Linked DNA regions of Arabidopsis thaliana. The protein of the gene in region 3 purifies or fractionates together with the protein of the main gene of each other region. This does not show direct contact. Each region holds a gene or a part of one and is shown on either strand. Other genes may lie near its edges. The genes, in order: IMD1, AT3G23940, MTO2 and IMD2.

Region 1 (5,370 bases), on a different chromosome or scaffold from region 3:
TGGAAAATCGTTGTTGTTAGAATATTGTTTATTTGTAGAATCTTTCTCGGAGAAGATCCTGACATGGCCAGATCGGCTAGCAATTCTGATTGAGATAGCAAAGGCAGTTCATTTTCTTCACACCGGTGTAATGCCTGGTTCATTCAACAATCAGCTTAAGACTAACAATATTTTGCTTGACGAACACAAGATTGCAAAGCTCAGTGACTATGGAGTCTCTGCCATCATTGAAGAGAACGAAAAGCTTGAGGTTTGCTCTATTTACTCTCTTTCACTGTGTTTATCTTCATTTTGTATGATCTTCTTTGACACTAACTCAGGACTCTACTTTACTCCTGCTTCTACATTTTGCAGACAAAGTCAGAAACCCACAAGTCAAAGTATGCATCTTTTGTCCTTGTATAGCAAAACTCCATGGCATTTATGAGAATCTAATCCAAACTTTGAGATTATGCAGGAAAAAGGCTAAAAGAGAGGACGATGTGTACAACTTCGGATTCATACTTCTGGAATCTCTGATAGGACCAGTGCCCACTACAAAAGGAGAGGCTTTTCTTCTCAACGAAATGGTAACAAAGAGAAAAAGCAAAAAAAAAAAGCATCATCATTGTTATTTGATTGAAACAAATTTGGTTAATAGCTGTTGCTGCAATGTTGTGTTTGCAGACATCATTTGGGAGCCAAGACGGTCGGCAGAAAATAGTAAGTCCAACAGTCCTAACAACAAGCTCGCAGGAGTCTTTATCGATTGCGATCTCAATCGCCAATAAATGTGTTTTGCTTGAACCTTCCGCAAGACCTTCCTTTGAAGATGTTCTCTGGAACTTACAATACGCAGCTCAAATGCAGTCTGCCGCAGACGCTGAACGCAAATCTGATACGTCGTCGTGAATCCAAAGGCTAACCTAATGATTGATAGTTTTTTCGGTTTTCTAAATGTAAAGCTCTATAAGTTTGGTTTTCAGTATAAAAATGTAAGACTCTTGAGACTAAAAATCATAGTAGCTTGTCTTCTCTTGAAACTTATTTCGTTAAACAAATATTGATTGAAGAAGATATTGAGTCTTGTAGTTGAAGAGAAATTCTCAATCTTCAAGAACAAGGTAAGTAAAGGCAGGAGACCTGTCAAATGTTTTTGGAGAATCTTGTCTTTGAATTGCAGAATCGATCCCAAATAATTTATTTATTATAAAAGGTACAATGTTGCATGGATTAGCATATAAGTGACCGTAAAACCAAGTGCTACACAAACTTTTTCAAGTGCTTCAAATCATCAATAAACTTAAACAGTAGCTGGAACTTTGGATTCCACTGATTTGAGAACCTCCTCACCCATTTCCTTGCATCCCACCAGTTTCTGCATTTTCAAAACACAAAAGACTTTTTTAAGTATTTTGTTACGAACTTGTACAAAACAAATGATAAGAATCATCATGCACATACATTTCCAGGGGAGTAGATGTCTCCGGTTCTGAACCCTTTGTTCAGAGCATCCACGACAGCGTCTTCAATCCTCTTTGCAGCCTTTTCTTCTCCAAGTCCATACTTCAGAAGCATCGCCGCGCTGAGAATGGTGGCCAATGGGTTTGCCTTGTCTTGTCCAGCTATATCTGGTGCTGAACCATGTATAGGTTCAAAGAGTCCAGGTCCCTGATTTCATCACAAGTTTAACATTTCGCATTAGTTTATAAACAGGAGGAGCCTTGAAAGATGTTAGTTAATTTTGTTTACCGATTCACCGAGACTAGCAGATGGAAGCATTCCAATGCTTCCAGTGATCATTGAAGCTTCATCAGACAATATATCACCAAAAATGTTATTGGTAACGATTGTGTCAAACTGCATTGTTTTAAAAACACCGTGAGTACTAGTTCCACTTCTGAGTTAGCTTAATCAACGACTAAGTTTGATATATGTGCGAGAAGCACCTGTTTCGGGTCACGAATAAGCTGCATTGCAGCATTATCGACATACATATGTGATAGTTCAACATCTGGATATTCAGAGGCTAAAGCTGTTACTCTTTTCCTCCACAATATTGATGCCTACATGAAACAAAGAAATTTGCATTTCGTAAAACACACAAAAGTGGAAAAACAATTCAGTGAACTAACAGAACGTACATCCAACACATTGGCTTTGTCAACAGAACAAAGTTTGCCACGCCTTTTCCTAGCAGTCTCGAATGCTACACGAGCAATTCTGTCAATCTGAAGAACATAAATCAATGCATTAATATCCATACATTGCCAATATTGTCACAGAGCACAGTGTGAAGGGTTATTACCTCGTGAGCAGCGTAGATCTCTGTACTAACGCCGACTTCTTCGCCATTTTCATTGATCGTAATGCCTCTTGGCTCTCCAAAGTAAATACCTCCTGTGAGCTCCCTAACAATCATCATATCAACACCTTCTGCTACTTCTTTCTTCAGTGTGGAAGCATCAACTAGCTGAACAAGCAAAACAGAAACATTTGAGTTTATTTACAACTAGAAGCAAAATTCAAGTGCTAAGCAAATCAAAACCGAAGATACCTGTGGCAAAACTGTAGCAGGTCTCAAATTAGCAAAGACTTTGAGATCTCTTCTAAGGTAAAACAGAGCCATCTCAGGTCTCAGATGTTTCTCATTCTTGTCCCATTTGTACCTGAACAATAATCATCCAAACCTCAAGATCAGAATAAATTTGGAAGCAGATTGCTAAAGAAACAGCACTCACACACATACCCTCCAATAGCTCCAAGAAGAATGGCATCAGATAGTTTTGCAGCCGTGAAAGTTTCCTCCGGCAATGGAACTCCAACCAAATCCAAGGCTGCTCCTCCGACAGGCATCTCCTTGAAATCAAACTCCAGTCCTGTGATACAAAAGCAAAGACACAATCATCTACTGGCTAAGCAAACACACTCGTTGTTTCCAAAAACCATTGAGAAAGAGAAAGAACCTTCGAGAGATCCAGCTTTCTGAAGCACATTCTTAGCAACAGAGATAACTTCTGGACCGATACCGTCTCCGGGAAGCAGAGCGATGTTATACCGTTTTTTCCCAGGTGAAGCGGCGGCGCACCTAATTCGATACGGCGCACGAAACTGATGATCGGTGAGAGAACTGTATTTCCCCGGGACGATCTTGATCGCATTCAGACTGATGTTCGTTTGCAAAAACGCCGCCATTTTTTTTGGGAGTTAGCAAATTTGAAATTGTGTCACAATAGTTATATAACATAAAGAGTTTGGTACTTAGATAGGTGTGCACGTTTTTTGAATTACGCCATTAAAGATTTGTTTTTTTAAATGGCTTAAATTATCCTTTTTACCTATAAACTGGCTCACCAGCTAAACCATGCCATTGCTTGTTTAGGAAAAGAAGAAGAAGAAGCGCCACTATAATTGGGCCTTTACCAAAGATTGGCCCATTTTAAAGTCGAAATATTGGGCCGCTCTTATAGCCCATCAAAGTACCAGGAGAAGTTCTTAAAAGTTAAAACGTAGTAGTAGAGGAACAATAACGGCTGATTATTTAATTTTATGATCGGATATTCGGATTTTGTCAAATCGTCTGGTTAGTCCAAGGATGAACACGAACTGTTTTTAACATAATACTTCTATAACAAAAATAAATTTAAAGTAACTAAATTAAAGCCTAAATGACCAAAGATTCTTAAATATTTGCAAAAAACAGAAACGAAAGGCGAGGCAAATCCACCACACCACGTGAGAGTTATGACCAATTTTTGATGTTTTCTGAATATGATACGTATCATAAAAAGTGTGTTCATACTTCATAGGGGATAGGGATAATAGTATAATACTATATTGTTGAAGTGTGGACACACAAATAATATGAAAGCAAGACTTTGTATATAAATTATTTGGAACATTGTGTACCCCCAAATTATTAATCATTATCCAAATTTAGCATGTCTCGAGGTTTTTTTTCTTTTTTTTGTATTTTTGACTACCGGACACTGTGTGCATGCAGGGTGTGAAACGAAAGCGTACCGATGTAGAATTTTTTTTTTTTTTTTCTTTCTTCTTTGAGTTCGAGAAGAAACAAGTAACGGAAACTGATGTCATAGTCCATTTATCCGTCCCTACAGCATCTACAATCGCCTTTAACAGTTTCTTCTTTCGTCCTATCTTCTTTTTATCACTCCACATTAAAACAAAATGATATTATTACAACATTTGTATGATTTTTTTAAATATATTTTTTGCTTATGAGTTATTATAGATCTCAGGAATTTAACATTTTTCTTTTCTTAATTTTGTTTAGATTGCCTTGCTAGTTGCTATTACTATTCACTCATTAAATTAATGTGTATATATAGGATATGAAATTGTCTCCATCAAGTTTTGTGTTTTATATATCTAGGCTGTGTAATCGATACAAATATACAAACCAGAGATCTTGTTTTTAAAAAAAATTAGTCAGCTCTTTTCTAGACTAAGCTATTGGATGTATCTCCTTTACTATTCTTTTCTTCACATTGAAAACATATGGAAGTACTTTTATTATCATGAGATCTTCTATTTTTTTTTTTCTCTTTTATAAAGATTATTTTCCATTCATCTCAGTTCCACGTATTATTTTAAATGTTTATCATAATAACCTCGCTCTCTCAAAAAAGTTAGAAATCATGGCATGGTCACACTGATCATCCCTCCACTTATATATAGAAACTTTAGTAAATGTTGTATCGACGATAGCAGTGGATGATTCACCACTTCTAGAAACTATTCATAAATGCTTGTCTTATTTTTTGTGCATGATTCAATTCTTAATTTATGTTTACACACCATAAATTGTTTTTTTTTCTAAATAAGTTTTTGTCTATCCATAGTTGCTAACGTGGTTTTGCATTTTTATAAATAGCTAATAATTCCATTTTCTATTATCTTATCCGTCACCCCTTCTCTCTATATAAAACCATTTTCACTTTCCTATAAACGTACGTGATAACCCCTATATATATCTCAATGGCCGGTTCGGTTATGGTTCCGTCCGTTTCAATCGGTTTAGCCTTATCTGTCTTAATCTTCTTCGCTCTTTCCCTCAAGACCCTTGAAGCTCGTGGAACCTTCGGCAGGCTTGCCGGACAGCCACCGCAGAGGACTGCTGCCGGCGGCATATGCGCTTCTTCTGTTCACATATTTGGTTACAAGTGCGAAGAACATGATGTACGTACGACATTCTTTTTTTTTCTATATAGCTATTGATGATGATTACTCATCGATATATTAACTGATAAAGCTGCTATTTTAATTGTTAAATTATGAAGGTGGTGACTCAAGATGGGTACATATTGAATATGCAAAGGATACCGGAAGGACGAGCCGGAGCCGTCGCCGGAGATGGGGGAAAGAGAC
Region 2 (7,001 bases), on a different chromosome or scaffold from region 3:
TCTCCGTCCTAAATACACTTCTCAAAATGTTGAGAAATTAAGGAACCACGAGCGTTTCAGCGACAGTGGATTGGTTACAAAGATGCAAAGTGGTATTGTTGTGAGTTACAAGGTTGTGTGGTTGATCGCTCACACTTTTGCTCAAGTCGATTTTGCGATTTACTCATCTAACACAGGGGAATGGGAAATTAAAAATGTGACTTGTCTTCATTCTGCCTATTGGTTTAGTCATCACAAGTCCATTGCTTTAAATGGGATTCTTCATTGGCTTTCCAACCTCACCGGTTCTTTTTTAGCTTACGATTTCTATGGAGGTCATCATGATGCGTGTAGTATCATTTATTTCCCCGATAATGGAAAAGATTACGAGTTACCGCGTTTTCGGAGAACAATCACTACCTCGGAAGGGTCTATTGTGTATTTCAACGAGTTTGGTGGGAACGCAAACCGCAAAGTACGGGTTTGGAGGCTGGTCAAGTACACTGATGGTCCTGAGGCGTGGCAGCTCTTTTGGGAAGCCAGCTTGGCGTCTGTGACCAAGCTAGGTATCGATTACTTCCCGGTGGTGATGCATCCTTTGAAGTCTGAGATCATCTACTTGTGGAGCAGAAACAAGAAAGGTATGGTCTTGTTTAACTTGAGGACGCATGTGTTTAGTCTTCACAAGGAATCCGAAGACGAGAGGAAGTGTATGGATGGTTGCACCTTGAGCTTTAACTGGTGCAACGAGTATATGGAGACCGTTCATAGATACTTTTCCCCATCGTTTCAAGGTGGTCCTAACCTTCTCCTCGCTTCACAGTATGTTCTCCCTCGTTGGTTGTCCCGTCTCCCTCGTCCACAGCCTTCTAATTAGTTTATATTGATTCTGTTTTAAGTTTGATATCAAATTTCAAATGTGAATGATTTTACAATTCTGTGAGATGTCATGCTCGAGCCTTTGAGACAAATACTTGCACCTTGATATAAATTGGTCGAATCAAATATTAATTACCATGCTCGAGTTTTACTATTCTTATGACCCTTATGTTGTCTCCTACAGAAACGAGAGAAAGACGATGAAAAGACTTGAAATCCAAGGAACCCAAGCCTTTAAGGTTAGTGGATTTCACATCTTTCTAAACCATGTAGAGAACGTCAAGCTTATTCACGCATAGCTGGTTTGCCACATTGGCTCTTAAGTTCAATCTCATAGACAAGTATTTATGCAAATCCGTCTTTATTCTGTCTTTATATTCTTTGGAATTCGGCCACAATCACAAGTTTTTATTTTGACATTTAAGAGAAACAAAATCTTAAAAACGAACCCTGCAAATAGCTAATGATCAGTCACAAAGTAACATGATCTAGAAGCTACAATAAATAAACTTACAAATTCCCTCATGAACGTACACTACATTCTGCTGCTCATTCACAAAACTCTCTCTTAGATCGTTCACTTTACTCGTCAGTCACACATCCATCTGAAGCCGATTGCACGTTCTTGATGTACTGTTTTTAGAATATCATAAACCATTCATTAGAAACTAATCCATCAGATGTCAAAGAGACATACATTATATAGATACAAGTGGATTCGTATAGTACCTTATATAGGACTCCGCGGTTAACCTTGTATGCAGGAGCAGTCCATTTCTTTCTACGGTCATTCATTTCTTCGGGTGAGACTTGTGTGTCTATTCTCTTCTTTCCTATGTCAATGGTGATTATGTCTCCGTTCTTGATCAGACCGATCGGACCACCCTCCTGCACAGATAAATAGTAAGCACACCGGAGAATTGCTTTCAGCATTATTATCTTCACATTCTCCAATCACATTAATATCAGTTTTATTATTTGAAATATTCCAAAATCATCATAACTGCATAAGAGCCACCACAAACTATTACAGGATCCCTTGACCCTTGTTCCTTTTTGCTAAAACTATATATGACTATGACCCAGTAGCATTTATTTTTCAATACACAAGAAAAATATCCCAGAAGAGGGACATGGATCTATCAAATTTATCTTGCAAGTGCAAAATTTAGAATTTTGCTCTGATGGAGCCAGTGGGCAGAGAGAAAAAAAAAAGGGAGAGAGAGAGACCTGAGCTTCAGGGCAAATGTGGCCAACAACAAAACCGTGTGACCCACCAGAGAACCTACCATCAGTCAGTAATGCACATTCCTGCATCACCCAATAGCAACATATTGGCACTTTATATAAGGTGTGTTCTCGGATATGGACAAAGTAGATAAAAAGATTTAGGTCACTACCATAAGCATAATATAGTCAGACCATATCAAAGGAAAAATAACGAGTTCTTTAATTTAGAACATAAAAATTGATCAGACTTAATAAATGTCTCACTAACCCAGTCATACTGGTCATATCATACCTTTCCAAGACCGGCACCCATTATTGCACTTGTCGGTGTCAACATCTCAGGCATACCTGGACCTCCTTTAGGCCCCTCTCCTCTGATAACAACCACAGTTCCCTGAAACACGATACATTTCATCAGATAAAAGATATATAACCAGCTCCTGAGATGAACTTCATATCAGAAAGGAAATTACCTTAAAACTCATTGGGTCTGCTGATATAGCAGCCAACATAGATTCCTCTCCTTCAAATACAAGTGCAGGACCTAAAATAAATAGTTCCATCATATAAGCCCTAATATTCAGAAGCATTAGCTAAATATGGAGTGTAAAGGAGGTACTAGAGTGAACCAACATTACCAGAGAAATATAAGCCCTCTTTGCCGGTAATTTTTGCTACAGAACCATCTGGTGCAAGGTCTCCTCTCAAAATTTGTATGTGTCCAGTCTCCTTGATTGGATTTGACAGAGGTCTAATTATCTCCTGGAACATTATCAGAATTAATTAGAATCCTGTATAACTAACAACCATCATAATCAAGAAGAAACAGGCGGTAGAATCTAATGAGATAACTAATAACATTACAAATACCTGCCCTTCTGTTAAGCTTGGGACGTTTTCTAAATTTTGAGCCAAAGTCTGCCCTGTCACTGGTAGAGATACAAAAGCGTAGTTATGCCATTTCACATCAATCCAAATTGCTAAGTCAGTTTATAAAATGTTTGAGCATTTCTACCTGTCATACAATCACCATCCATCAATCCTAGCTCTAATAAATAGCGGAGAACAGCTGGCGTACCACCTATCTGTAGATTAAACAACAAAACTTACAAACTGACCAATAAAAAAACAGATAAGTAATAAGCAAAACGATTTCGCCAAAGCCTTACCTTATGTATATCCTCCATAACATACTTCCCACTGGGTTTAAGATCTGCTAGAAATGGAACCGCATCGCTAACTTTCTGAAAATCGTCAAGAGTCAACTCCAAACCAACAGACCTGAAATCATTTCCATTCATTACTTCGGTCCATTGCTTTCCATGGTAATAATAAGAAACATCATAACAATCTGTCACCTTGCAATAGCAATTAGATGCAATACTGCATTTGTCGATCCCCCAAGGGCCATGACGGAAACCATTGCATTACGAAGTGATTTTGGAGTGATAATGTCACGGGGTTTTAAGTCCATCTTTAGCAATTCTAGAAGATATTTTCCTGCTAAGCGACACTCGTCCAACTTCAATGGGTCTTCAGCAGGTATTGAAGAACTTCAAAAAAAAAAGAAGAAGCAAATATATGAACTTTTGAAATAAGCATTCCACAATTACAGTTTAGGATCTACAATGTTCTTGTGGAAATAACTTTCTATTAAGCACAAATCTGGGAAAACGTTTGAAGTTGATTTATAAATGTGGTCTTCAGGACTGAAAGCCTCACCTGTAAGGAAGGGACATTCCCATTGCTTCGATAGCAGAAGCCATTGTATTCGCTGTGTACATGCCACCACAGGCTCCAGCTCCAGGACATGAATGATGGAGGACAGTCTTTCTCTGTTCATCACTTATGGAGCCACTAACAAATTCTCCATAACTCTGAAATACAAAATTGGAAAACATGATGAATCCCACAAGTACTGGTACAATTTGACACCAAAGTCACCAAGATTTCTGTAACTCAATCCCAAAATTGGAAAACTCAATGAAGTCTCATAAATACACATTAAAATTGTTATAACCAAGCTCGTAGCAGATAGAAGAAAAGATACCTGGAAAGCAGATACAATGTCATATGTCTTGTCTTGAAAATGGCCAGGCTGCAATAATATCAAAGCAAGGTGAATAGGCTATCCAACTAGGCACAAGGGTTTAGGGTTTAAGAAACTATCTTCTCATCAATTTGATAAAAGTAAGTACCTTAATGGTTCCACCATAAACCATAATCCCTGGTCTGTTAAGCCTTCCCATAGCCATAATAGTTCCAGGCATCTAAAAGTATTACAACAATAACATTATAGCAAACAAATCACATAAAACATGGAGATAAAGACAACACAAAGATCGATGATTAAAAAAAAAAAACTCACATTTTTATCACAACCGGGAATAGATATGTTACCATCATACCACTGAGCACTCATAACAGTCTCAATACTATCAGCAATCAAATCCCTAGATTGCAAACTAAAACACATCCCTCTCGTTCCCATCGAAATAGCATCACTCACACCAATAGTATTAAACCTAAACCCAACCATTCCTGCATTTTCAACTCCTTCTTTCACAGCCTCAGACAATTTCAGCAAATGCATGTTACAAGTGTTCCCTTCATACCAAACCGACGAGATACCAATCTGGGGTTTTAGCAAATCGTCGTCTGATAAACCAACACCGTGAAGAATTGCTTGAGACCCACCTTGGGATTTGGGTTCAGTGATTCTTGAGCTGTATTTGTTGAGCTTATTGGTGTCAGTGATAGGTGGTGAAGGATCAGCGGTTACGGATTGGGCGGAGCAGGAGATGATTGAGGGACGGCGAGAGTTGACATTGTGGGAAGGGAGGAGAGGTTTACAGGGGAAGAGAGTGGCGCGTGGAGAGAAGATGGTGGCTTGCATGACGGCGCGAGGAGGAAAGGGTTTAAAGAAGGGTTTTTTGGCGGCGCAGTGCGTGTGGAGGAGACACTTCAAAAGTGAAGACTTTGTGAGAGTGAGATAAAATGGTCAGGACTCTGAATTCAGATAGATACAGAAAAATAGGTTTTTTTGGTAATTTGTGAAAACGCTGTCGTTTAGCATAATTTGGGAAACAATTTGGTTTAACTCGCTGGTTTGGTATATGCGATTGCTTAAATAGTTATAATTAGGGGTGCAATAACCGGTTATTACAATTGTAGTGAAATAATTGGGTTAAAAATGGAATTGAAGACATAATAAATGGTTTTGGTTTCATATTTTTTTCATAATCAATATAGTAATAGAGATCAAACCAAGACAGAAAAAGAAGTAGAAATAAACCAATTAGAATTGTTTTTTTTTGTTAATGAAATATTGCTAAAATTAAATGCCGTAATCGAAGCAAAAATAAGAAATAAACCAACTAAAACTTCTTCTTTTTTACTACGGAAATTAAAGTAAATTTTGCTAAAAAGGATAAAACCCTAGCAGAAATCAAAATTGTACCAAACCGAACCACATGATATATTTCTTGTAGGATTCACTTCTTTATCTCATCTAACAAAAATTTGATAATTTTCAGTAACCGAACCGGAAGTTGGACATTCTTAATTAGAACTAGAAGTTTCTTGGGCTATAAAAAAGCAAGTGGTGTTTTAGACTTTTAGTGTCTAGTAAGTTTTTTTCCACAGTTTCTGTTCTTTGGAAAAATGGTTCATTATCATTATTGCTAAAGAATTGTATCTAACTCCAACAAAAAAAAAAAAAAACGATTTGTGCAAATCTTTCATGGGACATGTGCTTTTTGAACTCATAGTGCTATGATTTACTATATTTCCAAAATAAAAATTGTAAAATAACCAAAAGAGAAATAAATATGACATTGTGGATCAAGATTCTCTGACGAGATATGACTGTTTGCAGAAGACTATTTGAGTAAAAAGTGTTTATGTACATTCGACACATTTGGTCTTCAATATCAACAGATTCATTGATGCGAATGATCCTGTCTTCTTTTTCTTCTTGCTTCCAAGAATCCTTAGACTCTGTCTCAATAAGTCAATCTCTCTTTCTTTCTCATACTTTTGTCTATCCATCAAAACTATTTGCTCTTCAAGTGTCTCAACTGTCTCTTCTTTAACTCTAACTTCATCTCTCAATACTTCAACTCTCTTTGCTTCTGTTTCTTCTTCTTCTTGTTCCTCAAGTTTCCTTTGCATGATTGCTTCTCCTACAAACACACACTTTAAAGATCCTATTTACTTTTTCTAATTTTAAGTTGAAATAAGTTGAGTTTATTTTACCGGAGGAAGAAGTAGTGTGGGAGATGAGATGATCAAGCTCATTCTTGATAGCTAAATAGAGTTGTTTCCATTTCTCAACGGCTTCATCTCTCACTGCTCTCTCTACACACATCTCCTCAACCACCCACTTCCAATACTCTCTTTCCTCTGTTGTTGTTGTCTTTGCTTCTTCTCTTTCCTCTAGCTTCTTCCTTAGTCTTCTCACTTCCTCTCTCAGCTTCTTCCTCTCTTTTCTCCACTCTCTCTCCGCCTCTTTAAGCTGAAGAAACATCACTTTCTCTCTCTCATCTCTCTCTTTTATCAGGTGTCTTCTTCCTCTGCTTTGGTCTTTTGATGTCTCCTTCACACTTCTCACACCTCTCCTCTCTTGCTTGCTTGTGCATCCACCCATCTCTAATCCTTTTGGACACTTCTTCTTCTTCTTCTTATAACATGAAGAAGAATATGTTAATGAAGGAGAATCTCACTCTATCTCTCTGAAAGCTGTGTTCTTGTTTTATTTATGATGTAAAGAGCCTCTCTCCTACATTCAATGAAGAGAAGTCAAAATTGTATATGAAGAAGCTCCACTAGTACTACTACACTACCATTTATATATGGCCCTTTCTAAAAAGAGCATCTCAAAACAGTAACCTCTCTAGCTTTACTTTTTCACT
Region 3 (4,881 bases):
AATTGCTGAGTATCGTTTGAATCTGTAGCTCTGATCAGATAGGGTCATCTACTCTGCTCGGAAAATAGATCTAGATCATCTTCTGATTTTTCATTGAGTCTTATATAGTAGATTAAGAACAATTTATTGGTGCTTTGATGATAAATCTTGATTTGGTATGATAGAATTTTGACCTGGTGACTATCAAGTATCAGTGCAATGATCTCTCTTTTAGTTTGCAGTGGAGTTTTTATTTGCTTCTGAGCTTATAATTTCAACATTACTCTTTAGAATGGTGCTCTGCTAACATAGTATTTTACATGTTCCAAGGGTACGATCCTTGCTGTTGCAGGTGGAAGTAGTGCCTCAGTCAAGCTTTGGGACACTGCAAGCTGGAGATTAATCTCAACTCTATCAATCCCACGCCCAGATGCACCAAAACCTTCCGATAAAACCAGCAGCAAGAAATTCGTTCTCTCGGTGGCTTGGTCTCCTAATGGGAAACGACTTGCTTGTGGTTCAATGGATGGTACGATCTGTGTTTTTGATGTTGACCGCTCAAAGCTACTTCACCAGCTAGAAGGTCACAATATGCCTGTAAGGTCCCTTGTGTTCTCCCCTGTAGACCCGAGAGTCCTCTTCTCTGGATCAGATGATGGGCATGTGAACATGCACGATGCAGAAGGGAAAACGCTGTTGGGGTCCATGTCAGGGCACACGAGTTGGGTGCTGAGCGTTGATGCTAGCCCAGACGGTGGAGCCATAGCAACCGGCTCAAGCGATAGAACTGTGAGGCTATGGGATCTTAAAATGAGAGCTGCGATTCAGACAATGAGCAACCACAATGACCAGGTTTGGTCTGTGGCCTTTAGACCACCAGGTGGAACCGGTGTCCGGGCTGGTCGACTTGCTAGTGTCTCTGATGACAAGAGTGTATCGCTCTATGATTACTCATGAACAATTCGGTTTTTTGACTTTTTTCTTTTATGCATTCTCCAAGACGCATCTAGTTGTAACAATATAATCTGCAACAGGTTGATTTTGACCGGAGTCTTTAGATTTATCGCTTACACAAAAAACAAAGAAGATAAAATGATTCAAACTTTGCGATAGAACTTTATTGGAAAACTGAGAAACAGATAAAGATCACAGAGAGATGAGTTGAAGAGTAACGCAAACAAACGTCTAAAAGTTTTCAAAAAACAAAACAGCTAAAGATTATGGTCTTGTCTCTTATGACGTAAGTGTATTACTTCCTAAGTAACTCTTGAGAACATCCATGACAGCTCCGAAATCTGCTTTCACATCAACAGGAGGATTGGAGAATCTGCAAGCCATGTCAGGGATGGCATTGGAGTGATAATCTATCTTAGACTGAGTAAACTTCAACCCATGAGCAGTACTCACTACCACAGTTCGATCAGTCGGTGCAATCACTCCTTGATTCCTCAGCTTGAACAGAGCAGTTAGAGCAACACCTGTATGAGGACAGATAAACATTCCTGTCGAATCCGCTTGAGCCATCGCATCCATCAGCTCCTCCTCTGTGGCTTCTTCTACAATACCATTGCACTTCTTGAGAGCGTACACAGCTCTATCGATGGAGACAGGGTCACCGATCTGAATCGCAGAGGCGAAAGTGGTACTTGCAGTCATGGGCTTGAAGTCCTTCCAACCAGACTTGTAGTGCAAGTAAAGAGGATTAGCATTAGCTGCTTGTGCACAGACCATCCTCGGGATCCTATCGACAAGTCCCAGTTCTTGACACATCTTAAACCCTTTGTAAAAGGCATAGATGTTTCCTAGGTTACCTCCAGGAACAATCACCCAATCAGGAACTTGCCAATCAAACTGCTGCAAAATCTCAATAGCTGCAGTTTTCTGCCCTTCTAACCTCAAACTATTCAACGAATTCGCCAAATAAATCGGCAATTCCGCAGTTATCTCTCTAATCAGCTTCATACACCCATCAAAATCAGTGTCAATACTCAAAACAAACGCACCATTAGCTATCGGCTGAACCAGCTGAGCCATAGAGATCTTGTTCGCCGGTAAAAACACAATCGATGGGATTCCAGCGGAGGCGCAGTAAGCAGATAGAGCAGCAGAAGTATCTCCGGTGGAAGCACATCCGACACCAACCACAGGTCGTTTCATCTTTCTCAGACGATTAACTTGACTAACCAAAACAGTCATTCCAAGATCCTTGAAACTTCCTGTATGACTAATCCCACAGTGTTTCACCCACAGATCATTCATACCTAGAAACTGCTTACCAAATCTCTCTGCCCAGAACAGATTCGAGTTTCCTTCAAAAGCTGAAACGATGTCGTCGTCATCGATCTCAGGAAGAACCCACTCTTTCTTCGACCAAACACCCGATCCATAAGGCCATGTGCTTTTACCAACACGCGAATCGAAGAGATCACGCCAATACGCGCCATCGAATCGCTTCAAAGCCTCCATATCGTGTTCGACATCAAGCAAACCACCGGAGCGGCTACGGTACACGATCTCGTCGAGAGAGTAAGACTCCGTGGATCCAGGAGCTGCATTAAACGGAACGTATTTAGCTGAAAATGGATTCACGGCGTTGGAACGATTACGACGAGCCTCATCTCGAATGTTATCCTCGGTACGGTGAGGAGGCTTGACCGCTGTCTCGATCGGGGCTTTGATGTTGTTGCCATCGGCGGTACAGGAGATGACGACGGGGCGGTGGCGGAGGAGAGAGGTTGACCGGTGGCGGCGGATGGGGTCTTGTTTAGGGTTTAAGGACGATACAGAGGCATTGAAGAGACAAGACGAAGCCATTTTTTCTAGAGAATGAGAAGTGAGATGCGGCTGAGGATTTTGAGGAGAGGACACGAGTGAGAGAGAGAGAAAACTATATTCAGATACTTAAACCGGAAATGTCTTAGAACCGGCTAGTCGGTTTAAGCTTTTAGGTTAATTGGGATTATGTATGTGACGTAGAGAGATATTTTGGGCCCATTAATCATTCAAATATCTGGATCGCTTTCCGTATATAGCAATTGAATATTTATGTTTTGTCACGTTTTGCTTTAAACAGGCTAATAAAGTGCATGTTATAAGGAACATTCATGTTGATGACAAAAAGATAAAAGGTTACATTTGACCCAAAGAAAACAATAATGTTGAACATAAAAATTCACATAAGAATCACGTTTTAATTTTGATATAACACCAATACACCATCATGATATAGATTGAAACTCTAGTAGTAACAATGTGTAAGTTGGCCAAATTTGTAATCAATTAAATACTGCATCCAGAGGAATTTGATGGAAAATGAACAATTACATCTGAAAGCAACATGTGAACACTCCAAGTATCCCATATTACTTGGTTCGAATTGGAAATCTTTATAGAAACAAATATCAATTTGAACCGGGTGTATATTTATAGATATGTAAGTATAAATCTGACTAAACTGTCACAGACTCGAATTTATTTGACAAGAAGAAGGAGAAAGTAAGAAAGGACTGGACTCAAATTCTATAAAACTACACAAAAGAGAAAACAAGTCAATCATTGCTATAGAGTAATAAAACATCTCTATACATTTTGAGTAGGAGAGATTCAAAAGGGGACACCTAAACGGGCGGTATGTTTGAGAAGGAGAAACCTTTGTATCCTTTGTAAGCATAATACGCAATCCGTGTATAGTAAAACCCGGGAATGAACAGAAGACACCCGAGGACGATGAAGAAAATCCCTGGTTTCACCATCAAAAATATCAAACAGAGAATGATAGGTCATTGATGCAATGATGAGAAAGAAGTAGTTCCGGCAAAACGGAAGAAAACAGCAAATCAAATGAAATCAAGTTTAAGTACAATGCTGATACTTGCTTTCGCTTTGCAGTATTGCATTGGGGATGTATGAAATGCATTAATGAATTACAAGCCCAGAGGAAGAAGAGCAAACTAGCTAATTTGAAGTGAATCTCATGTCTATGTTACAAGCAGAATTGGGATATATCAATAACAGTATGTGATGATAGTGATCTAAAAAGTTAATGGAATCCAACGGAGATCCTTCCCTTTTTTATCTCACAGATAAGAGAAGCTTAGAATCATCATATACTAGTTTCTATCGGAAGTTTACTAATCATTCTAACAATGAAATCAAATCGTATGCCTTTGGAAAACTTGTGTCTATTCATCCAAATCTCCAGAAAACAGAGAGCAAAAGGCCAAGCTGAAACGAAATTACACTCCACCGTAGCTAACCAGAGCACTTGCAATCTATATCTATCAGCTTAATTACCAAAATTATAACATAACTTCACCAAATCTAAAAAAATTCCTAAAACAATCTAGCTGAAATCAATTACTGTTTTCTAAATCTCTCAAACTAGCAAAGATAAGTCCCACATATTCTCTCATGAATTCCCAATTTCTACTCCAAGACTGGATCAATAAATGTGGAATAAGTAAGAAAGGTGAAGAAATCGCTACCGTGGCCTCGATCACCGCCAACTCGATTATAAGCCATGAAGAAACCGGAGACAATTCCTAGGGTTCCGAACACGAGTAAAGCCACCGCGAGTGCGATCTCCTTCACCGGCGGTCGGTTATTGACGGTGTATGAAGTCTCAATCATAATGTCCTCGTCCGTTATCGAGAACGCATGGTCGACGTACGCCATTTTACACAGCTTCCGGATCAAAGATCAATGGGAAACAATCAGGACCGATCTAGAAGAAAGCAGAATGACGATTGATCTAGAGCTCGAGAAAGATGAAATCGTACTGTTTGAATTTTAGGTCTTCAGATGTTATGAGTCTCCTACGACGGTGACGGATTAGTTTGGTGCAAATGCAATTTCTTTTGGTCGTGAAATCTACTCAACGTACTATGATTCAAACTACGCGTC
Region 4 (5,511 bases), on a different chromosome or scaffold from region 3:
TCTGGACACGACGACAAATGGCCTATGCCAACATCGGTGATGAAGGTGCAGAAGCTCAGAGTGAGATCAGTGAGAGAATGACAGTTTGTGGTCAGGACAAGAAGGCCTTGATCGTCAACTTGTTTGCCAAGTTTTGACATCCAGCCTGAGTATATAATCTCCACTTTGGAAAGATTTGGAAACCTCCTGCAGAGAGAAAGCAATGCATCGGATGCAGGAACTAAACCGCAACCAATCCGCAGAGAGTATCTTTGCTCGTTGTCCAGCGAGAAGAAACGTTTGCATGAGAGTGAAAGCGAGTTTCTGTCATCGGTAGTATGAAGCTTACTGAGAATGTCCCAAACCAAATGGTCTGGCAATTCATCCATTTGTCTATCTGTGTGAACAAAAAAGGATCAAAGCCTAACATGTCAAGTGAAAAGTCCACCTTGAAAACACAAAACAGAGCTTTGATGGAACTCAGAGATTATGCAGAAAAACGAAGGCGTTTGACTTTTTACTTACCACCACCAAGATACGCAATCCCAATGAACATTCAAAAAGCCATGAAAATTTCCAGAAACAAAATTGATAAGATAGAAATAAAAAACAGAGGAAAAACTCATCAGAGATGTCTAAATTGTGAATTAGTTCCCAAGCAGAGATTTAGATTTCTTGAACATAATAATGAATAATCAAGAAATAACAAAAATTCACATCCTTGATTCATCGATTAAACTCAGCTCTAAAAGTAGGCTTGCCATGAAACAGAAATCAGAGGAAAAAGATCTCACCGGAAAGAGCGAAAACTCTTGCGACGTTTGACCACACTCGGCGCCGGATAAGGACTACGGGGGAGATTGAATCTTTTTTGTCTCTCTAATTTTTGGCTTTTTGAGTGATACTCTGACACGTCATTATCTCCACAAGGATATTTATTTCTCAGAAAAAAACATCAACGTTTCAGTTCGATCAAATAAGTCCCTCTAATAATCTCACATTATAAAAATCGCTAATAAAACCGAGACTCTTTGAGTACAAGGTACAACATTTGTTGTTGGAAATGAACTCTTCAAAGTTTCTACAAATATTAAACAGAAGCTGGAACTTGGGAGTCCACTGACTTCAGAACCTCCTCTCCCATCTCCTTGCAGCCCACCAGTTTCTGATCATACCCCATACAAAAAGACAAAAAAATATTACTACTGTTTGTTGTTGCCTGCTTGTTTAAACGTTTCTCAAACACTAACTCGGGACGTTTTTAAGGAAAAGGAAACATGTTATAAGAGTGGTTCAAGAAACATACTGTTCCCGCGGAGTATATGTCTCCAGTTCTGAATCCGTTGTTCAGAGCAACCAACACTGCGTCTTCAATTCTCTTGGCTGCCTTTTCTTCTCCAAGTCCGTATTTCAGAAGCATTGCAGCGCTTAGAATGGTTGCCAATGGGTTTGCCTTATCCTGAAAATTCAAAGAATCAACAAGTTGTGCTCTTTGATTTTGGCATTAAACTAGTTTTGATATCAGGGAACAAAAACCGTGTTTGTTTGAAGGATAGAGTTAGAACCTGTCCAGCAATATCAGGTGCAGAACCATGTATAGGTTCAAAGAGTCCAGGTCCCTGTATTACACATGGCGGGTTTATGTTCAGACTAGATCATACTGCTTGCATACTAAAAGATCATATTATTTTATATCATACCGAATCACTGAGACTAGCAGATGGCAGCATTCCTATGCTTCCTGTGATCATTGAAGCTTCATCGGATAATATATCACCAAAAATGTTGTTTGTGACGATGGTGTCAAACTGCATTTATCAAACAATCAAATAATTGCAAGGATTTACACCTGTCGCACATCAAAGCTGACTAGTTTGGCAAATACAAAGTACACGTACCTGTTTTGGGTCACGAACAAGCTGCATCGCGGCATTGTCAACATACATATGTGACAGCTCAACATCAGGATATTCAGAGGCTAATGCTGTTACTCGTTTCCTCCATAAGATTGAGGCCTGCATATAAAAAAATTCAGTGTTATGTTCGTTCCACAGGAAACAAGAGAGAGGAAAACAAGTCAAAGAAAACATAATTATCAACCGCACTTCCAAAACATTAGCTTTGTCAACAGAACACAGCTTGCCACGCCGTTTCCGAGCAGTCTCGAAGGCAACACGAGCAATTCTATCAATCTGACGAACATACAAAATGCTTTATTAGATTTGACCCTAGTACTTAACAATCAGTCCACGGAAATCTGCATCTGAGATTTTCAATAGAGTACCTCGTGAGCAGCATAAACCTCAGTATTAAACCCAACTTCCTCGCCATTTTCATTGGTCTTTATGCCCCTTGGCTCTCCAAAGTAAATACCTGTTACCATGAGACATGACATTTTATAAGATATTGTCACACGAGAAAGACAAGAATTACGATCAATTTTTAATAAGTAATAAAACTGACCTCCTGTAAGCTCCCTTACAACCATTAGATCAACACCTTCTGCTACCTCTCTCTTTAAGGTGGAAGCATCCACTAACTGTATAAAAACAACAAAATTAGAGTTTCACACAAGAAACAAAGTTCAGGCAACCAAGAAATCTCTGAGGATGGTCACCTGTGGGAGGACTGTAGCAGGTCTCAGATTTGCAAAGACTTTGAGAGCTGCACGAATCTGAAGTAACCCCTTCTCAGGCCTCAGATGTTTTTCATTGTTATCCCATTTGTACCTTAAGTTATTATTATACCAACATGAGAAAATGACTAAATGAGAAACTGTATTTCCCAAAACAATAATTAAGAGCCAACAAGATTAGTGGGAAAAGAGAGAAGACAGACCCTCCAATGGCTCCAAGAAGCACTGCATCTGATTCTTTTGCAGCTGAGATAGTCTCCTCCGGCAAGGGCACTCCGACCAAATCCAAAGCAGCTCCTCCAATGGGCATCTCACGGAAGTTAAATTCCACTCCTGATACAGAGCACAGACGCAATGTATTAGGCAATCTCCGTGGCCTTTGAGCCCAACCCACGATTGTAAATCCCATTCAAAATCTCGCCAATTTCTAATGCTCACATCTTTCAATTCCAAGCAGAAAACAGTAGTCCCCAATTGAAATGAAACAGCAACTAAATTAAATAAGAAAGGGAACAAGAGAGAGAGAGAGAACCTTCCAAAGATCCAGCTTGCTGAAGCACATTTTTGGCAATGGAGACAACCTCCGGACCGATGCCGTCTCCGGGAAGGAGAGTGATGGTGTATCGTTTTTTACCAGGGGAAGCAACAGCACATCTTACTCTAAAGGGTGCCAATGACTGTTTACTTACAGCTCTGAACGTAGCCGGAACCTTGACCGTCCGGATATTCGTCTGCAGAGCCGCCGCCATTTCAGGGAGAAAGGATTGATTGGTCTTTTTCGGATTTTGAAACCGCAAGTCAAATGGATACTACTAGTACACTCAGACTTTACTTCTTTGCATTTATGGGTCCTTTTTTGCACATTGTTTTATTTTCAGAATTGACCCCAAAGTTTTTAATTTTGTAAATGGACACCTTACATTACCACATACAACATATATATATATATATATATATATATATATATATCCATTTATTAGCAGCACCTCACAGAAGAAGGAGGGCTCATCAAATACTTGAAGAGCCGCACGAAGCTGCAACAAGGCCGTTATCGGCTTCAAATGCTTGGGATTGTTATCCCATTTCGGCCTTCAATTCAAAAATCCAAACTTTAGATGAATCCAAACTTGAGATGAACGAAAGTTATGGTAATAATACCATACCATCCAACAGCTCCGAGAAGAAGAGCGTCTGATTGCTTTGCCCTGATCAATGTTTCCTTAGGCAGTGGAACTCCGACAAGATCTAAAGCAACACCTCCTATAGGCAACTCCTCGAAGCTAAAATCTATCCCTGATATCCAAAAACACGATTTCAGTTGGGAAAATCAAATTAAATTAGGCAACAGGATGAGAAAGAAGGAACCTTCAAGAGACCCAGCTAAACAAAGAACGTCAACAGCGACTGGGATCACTTCGTTACCGACGCCATCGCCGGGAAGAACCGCGATGGTGTACCGTTTCTTTGGAGTGTTGGCGGCACATCTGATCACAGAAGCTCTCCTAAAGCTCTGTTTGGTTGCGGACATAAACGCAACCGGAATCTGGGTACTGCTGACGTGGATGACTCCCGCCATTTACTACAACAAAGACTACAAGGAGACCTGGAAAGAACTTTTGTGTTTATAATCAAACCAATATTAACCGTTCGATTATTTATTTTCACCTCTGGATGGCTCAATTATGATGGGCCTAAGAAAGATTCGTAGAAGATAGATCGGCCCAAATGTTCCAAATATTAACACAAGTCCAGCGGGCTTTGGGCCCATAAATGGTATTCGGGTCAGATTTTAAAATGGGTATTCGGGTCAAAATTCGCCCGTTAGATGATGAACCCTAATTTCGTGTGTACAGGGAGCGGAGAGGGGAAACAAGAGAATGCTCTTGTTGCGGCGACTCAATCGAGTTCGGATTGCTTCCCCTTACTCCGTTCGGCTTCTGTCAGTAAAACCTATTTCAAATGTCGATGATGCGAAGTTTCGATCTCAGGAAGAAGAAGATCAGTCCAGTTACGATCAGAAAACAGTATGCGAAGCTCTCACATGTTACAGCAACGATTGGCAAAAGGCGTTGGAGTTTTTCAACTGGGTCGAGAGAGAATCCGGATTCAGACATACCACCGAGACATTCAATCGGGTGATCGATATTCTGGGTAAGTATTTCGAGTTTGAAATTTCTTGGGCTTTGATTAACCGCATGATCGGAAACACGGAATCTGTGCCGAATCACGTCACGTTTCGTATAGTCTTTAAGCGTTATGTGACGGCTCATCTTGTTCAGGAGGCTATTGATGCGTATGATAAATTGGATGATTTCAATTTGAGAGATGAAACATCATTTTATAATCTGGTCGATGCGCTTTGCGAGCATAAACATGTGGTTGAAGCTGAAGAGCTTTGTTTTGGGAAGAATGTCATTGGTAATGGTTTTAGTGTGAGTAATACTAAGATTCATAATCTGATTCTTCGTGGGTGGTCGAAATTGGGATGGTGGGGTAAATGCAAGGAGTATTGGAAGAAGATGGATACTGAAGGTGTTACTAAGGATCTTTTTTCGTATTCCATTTACATGGATATCATGTGCAAGAGCGGGAAACCGTGGAAAGCTGTGAAGTTGTATAAGGAAATGAAGAGTAGAAGGATGAAACTCGATGTGGTTGCTTATAACACTGTGATTCGAGCCATTGGAGCGTCGCAAGGTGTTGAATTCGGTATCAGGGTATTTCGGGAGATGAGGGAAAGAGGTTGTGAACCTAATGTTGCGACTCATAACACAATCATTAAGCTTCTATGTGAAGACGGGAGGATGAGAGACGCGTATCGGATGCTTGATGAGATGCCTAAGAGAGGTTGTCAACCCGATTCGATTACTTACATGTGTCTCTTTTCCCGTTTGGAG

The links.
Region 1: the proteins of MTO2 (region 3) and IMD1 fractionate together in Arabidopsis thaliana (co-fractionation; one large-scale study listed by BioGRID). This does not show direct contact.
Region 2: the proteins of MTO2 (region 3) and AT3G23940 fractionate together in Arabidopsis thaliana (co-fractionation; one large-scale study listed by BioGRID). This does not show direct contact.
Region 4: the proteins of MTO2 (region 3) and IMD2 fractionate together in Arabidopsis thaliana (co-fractionation; one large-scale study listed by BioGRID). This does not show direct contact.

Annotation. Positions count from the first base shown.
Region 1 is NC_003076.8:4,574,024-4,579,393, reverse strand, and holds IMD1 (isopropylmalate dehydrogenase 1), read right to left. Parts: upstream 3,272-5,370; 5' UTR 3,175-3,271; coding exon 2,946-3,174; intron 2,859-2,945; coding exon 2,729-2,858; intron 2,649-2,728; coding exon 2,537-2,648; intron 2,453-2,536; coding exon 2,288-2,452; intron 2,211-2,287; coding exon 2,124-2,210; intron 2,046-2,123; coding exon 1,929-2,045; coding exon of another isoform or gene 1,927-1,928; intron 1,840-1,926; coding exon 1,732-1,839; intron 1,651-1,731; coding exon 1,444-1,650; coding exon of another isoform or gene 1,432-1,443; exon of another isoform or gene 1,358-1,431; coding exon 1,283-1,357; 3' UTR 992-1,282; downstream 1-991. Other genes in the region: AT5G14210 (Leucine-rich repeat protein kinase family protein), read left to right, coding at 1-250, 355-380, 458-569, 667-891; MPL1 (Myzus persicae-induced lipase 1), read left to right, coding at 4,981-5,181, 5,283-5,370. UniProt on the Arabidopsis thaliana protein: Involved in both glucosinolate and leucine biosynthesis; catalyzes the oxidative decarboxylation step in both leucine biosynthesis (primary metabolism) and methionine chain elongation of glucosinolates (specialized metabolism).
Region 2 is NC_003074.8:8,646,763-8,653,763, reverse strand, and holds AT3G23940 (dehydratase family), read right to left. Parts: upstream 5,096-7,001; 5' UTR 4,985-5,095; coding exon 4,457-4,984; intron 4,359-4,456; coding exon 4,287-4,358; intron 4,187-4,286; coding exon 4,139-4,186; intron 3,966-4,138; coding exon 3,811-3,965; intron 3,642-3,810; coding exon 3,447-3,641; intron 3,370-3,446; coding exon 3,258-3,369; intron 3,174-3,257; coding exon 3,104-3,173; intron 3,018-3,103; coding exon 2,959-3,017; intron 2,851-2,958; coding exon 2,727-2,850; intron 2,633-2,726; coding exon 2,562-2,632; intron 2,483-2,561; coding exon 2,381-2,482; intron 2,170-2,380; coding exon 2,089-2,169; intron 1,747-2,088; coding exon 1,588-1,746; intron 1,492-1,587; coding exon 1,441-1,491; 3' UTR 1,159-1,440; downstream 1-1,158. Other genes in the region: AT3G23950 (F-box family protein), read left to right, coding at 1-856; AT3G23930 (troponin T, skeletal protein), read right to left, coding at 5,989-6,272, 6,346-6,736. UniProt on the Arabidopsis thaliana protein: Functions in the biosynthesis of branched-chain amino acids.
Region 3 is NC_003075.7:14,598,222-14,603,102, forward strand, and holds MTO2 (Pyridoxal-5'-phosphate-dependent enzyme family protein), read right to left. Parts: upstream 2,835-4,881; 5' UTR 2,794-2,834; coding exon 1,213-2,793; 3' UTR 995-1,212; downstream 1-994. Other genes in the region: VIP3 (Transducin/WD40 repeat-like superfamily protein), read left to right, coding at 310-936; AT4G29850 (transmembrane protein (DUF872)), read right to left, coding at 3,597-3,718, 4,464-4,653. UniProt on the Arabidopsis thaliana protein: Catalyzes the gamma-elimination of phosphate from L-phosphohomoserine and the beta-addition of water to produce L-threonine.
Region 4 is NC_003070.9:30,285,685-30,291,195, reverse strand, and holds IMD2 (isopropylmalate dehydrogenase 2), read right to left. Parts: upstream 3,434-5,511; 5' UTR 3,364-3,433; coding exon 3,147-3,363; intron 2,948-3,146; coding exon 2,818-2,947; intron 2,709-2,817; coding exon 2,597-2,708; intron 2,519-2,596; coding exon 2,443-2,518; intron 2,353-2,442; coding exon 2,264-2,352; intron 2,172-2,263; coding exon 2,085-2,171; intron 1,995-2,084; coding exon 1,878-1,994; intron 1,788-1,877; coding exon 1,680-1,787; intron 1,599-1,679; coding exon 1,545-1,598; intron 1,439-1,544; coding exon 1,286-1,438; intron 1,145-1,285; coding exon 1,070-1,144; 3' UTR 897-1,069; downstream 1-896. Other genes in the region: AT1G80570 (RNI-like superfamily protein), read right to left, coding at 1-376, 505-535; AT1G80555 (Isocitrate/isopropylmalate dehydrogenase family protein), read right to left, coding at 3,457-3,703, 3,778-3,907, 3,980-4,190; AT1G80550 (Pentatricopeptide repeat (PPR) superfamily protein), read left to right, coding at 4,492-5,511. UniProt on the Arabidopsis thaliana protein: Involved in leucine biosynthesis; catalyzes the oxidative decarboxylation step in leucine biosynthesis (primary metabolism). Catalyzes the oxidation of 3-carboxy-2-hydroxy-4-methylpentanoate (3-isopropylmalate, 3-IPM) to 3-carboxy-4-methyl-2-oxopentanoate.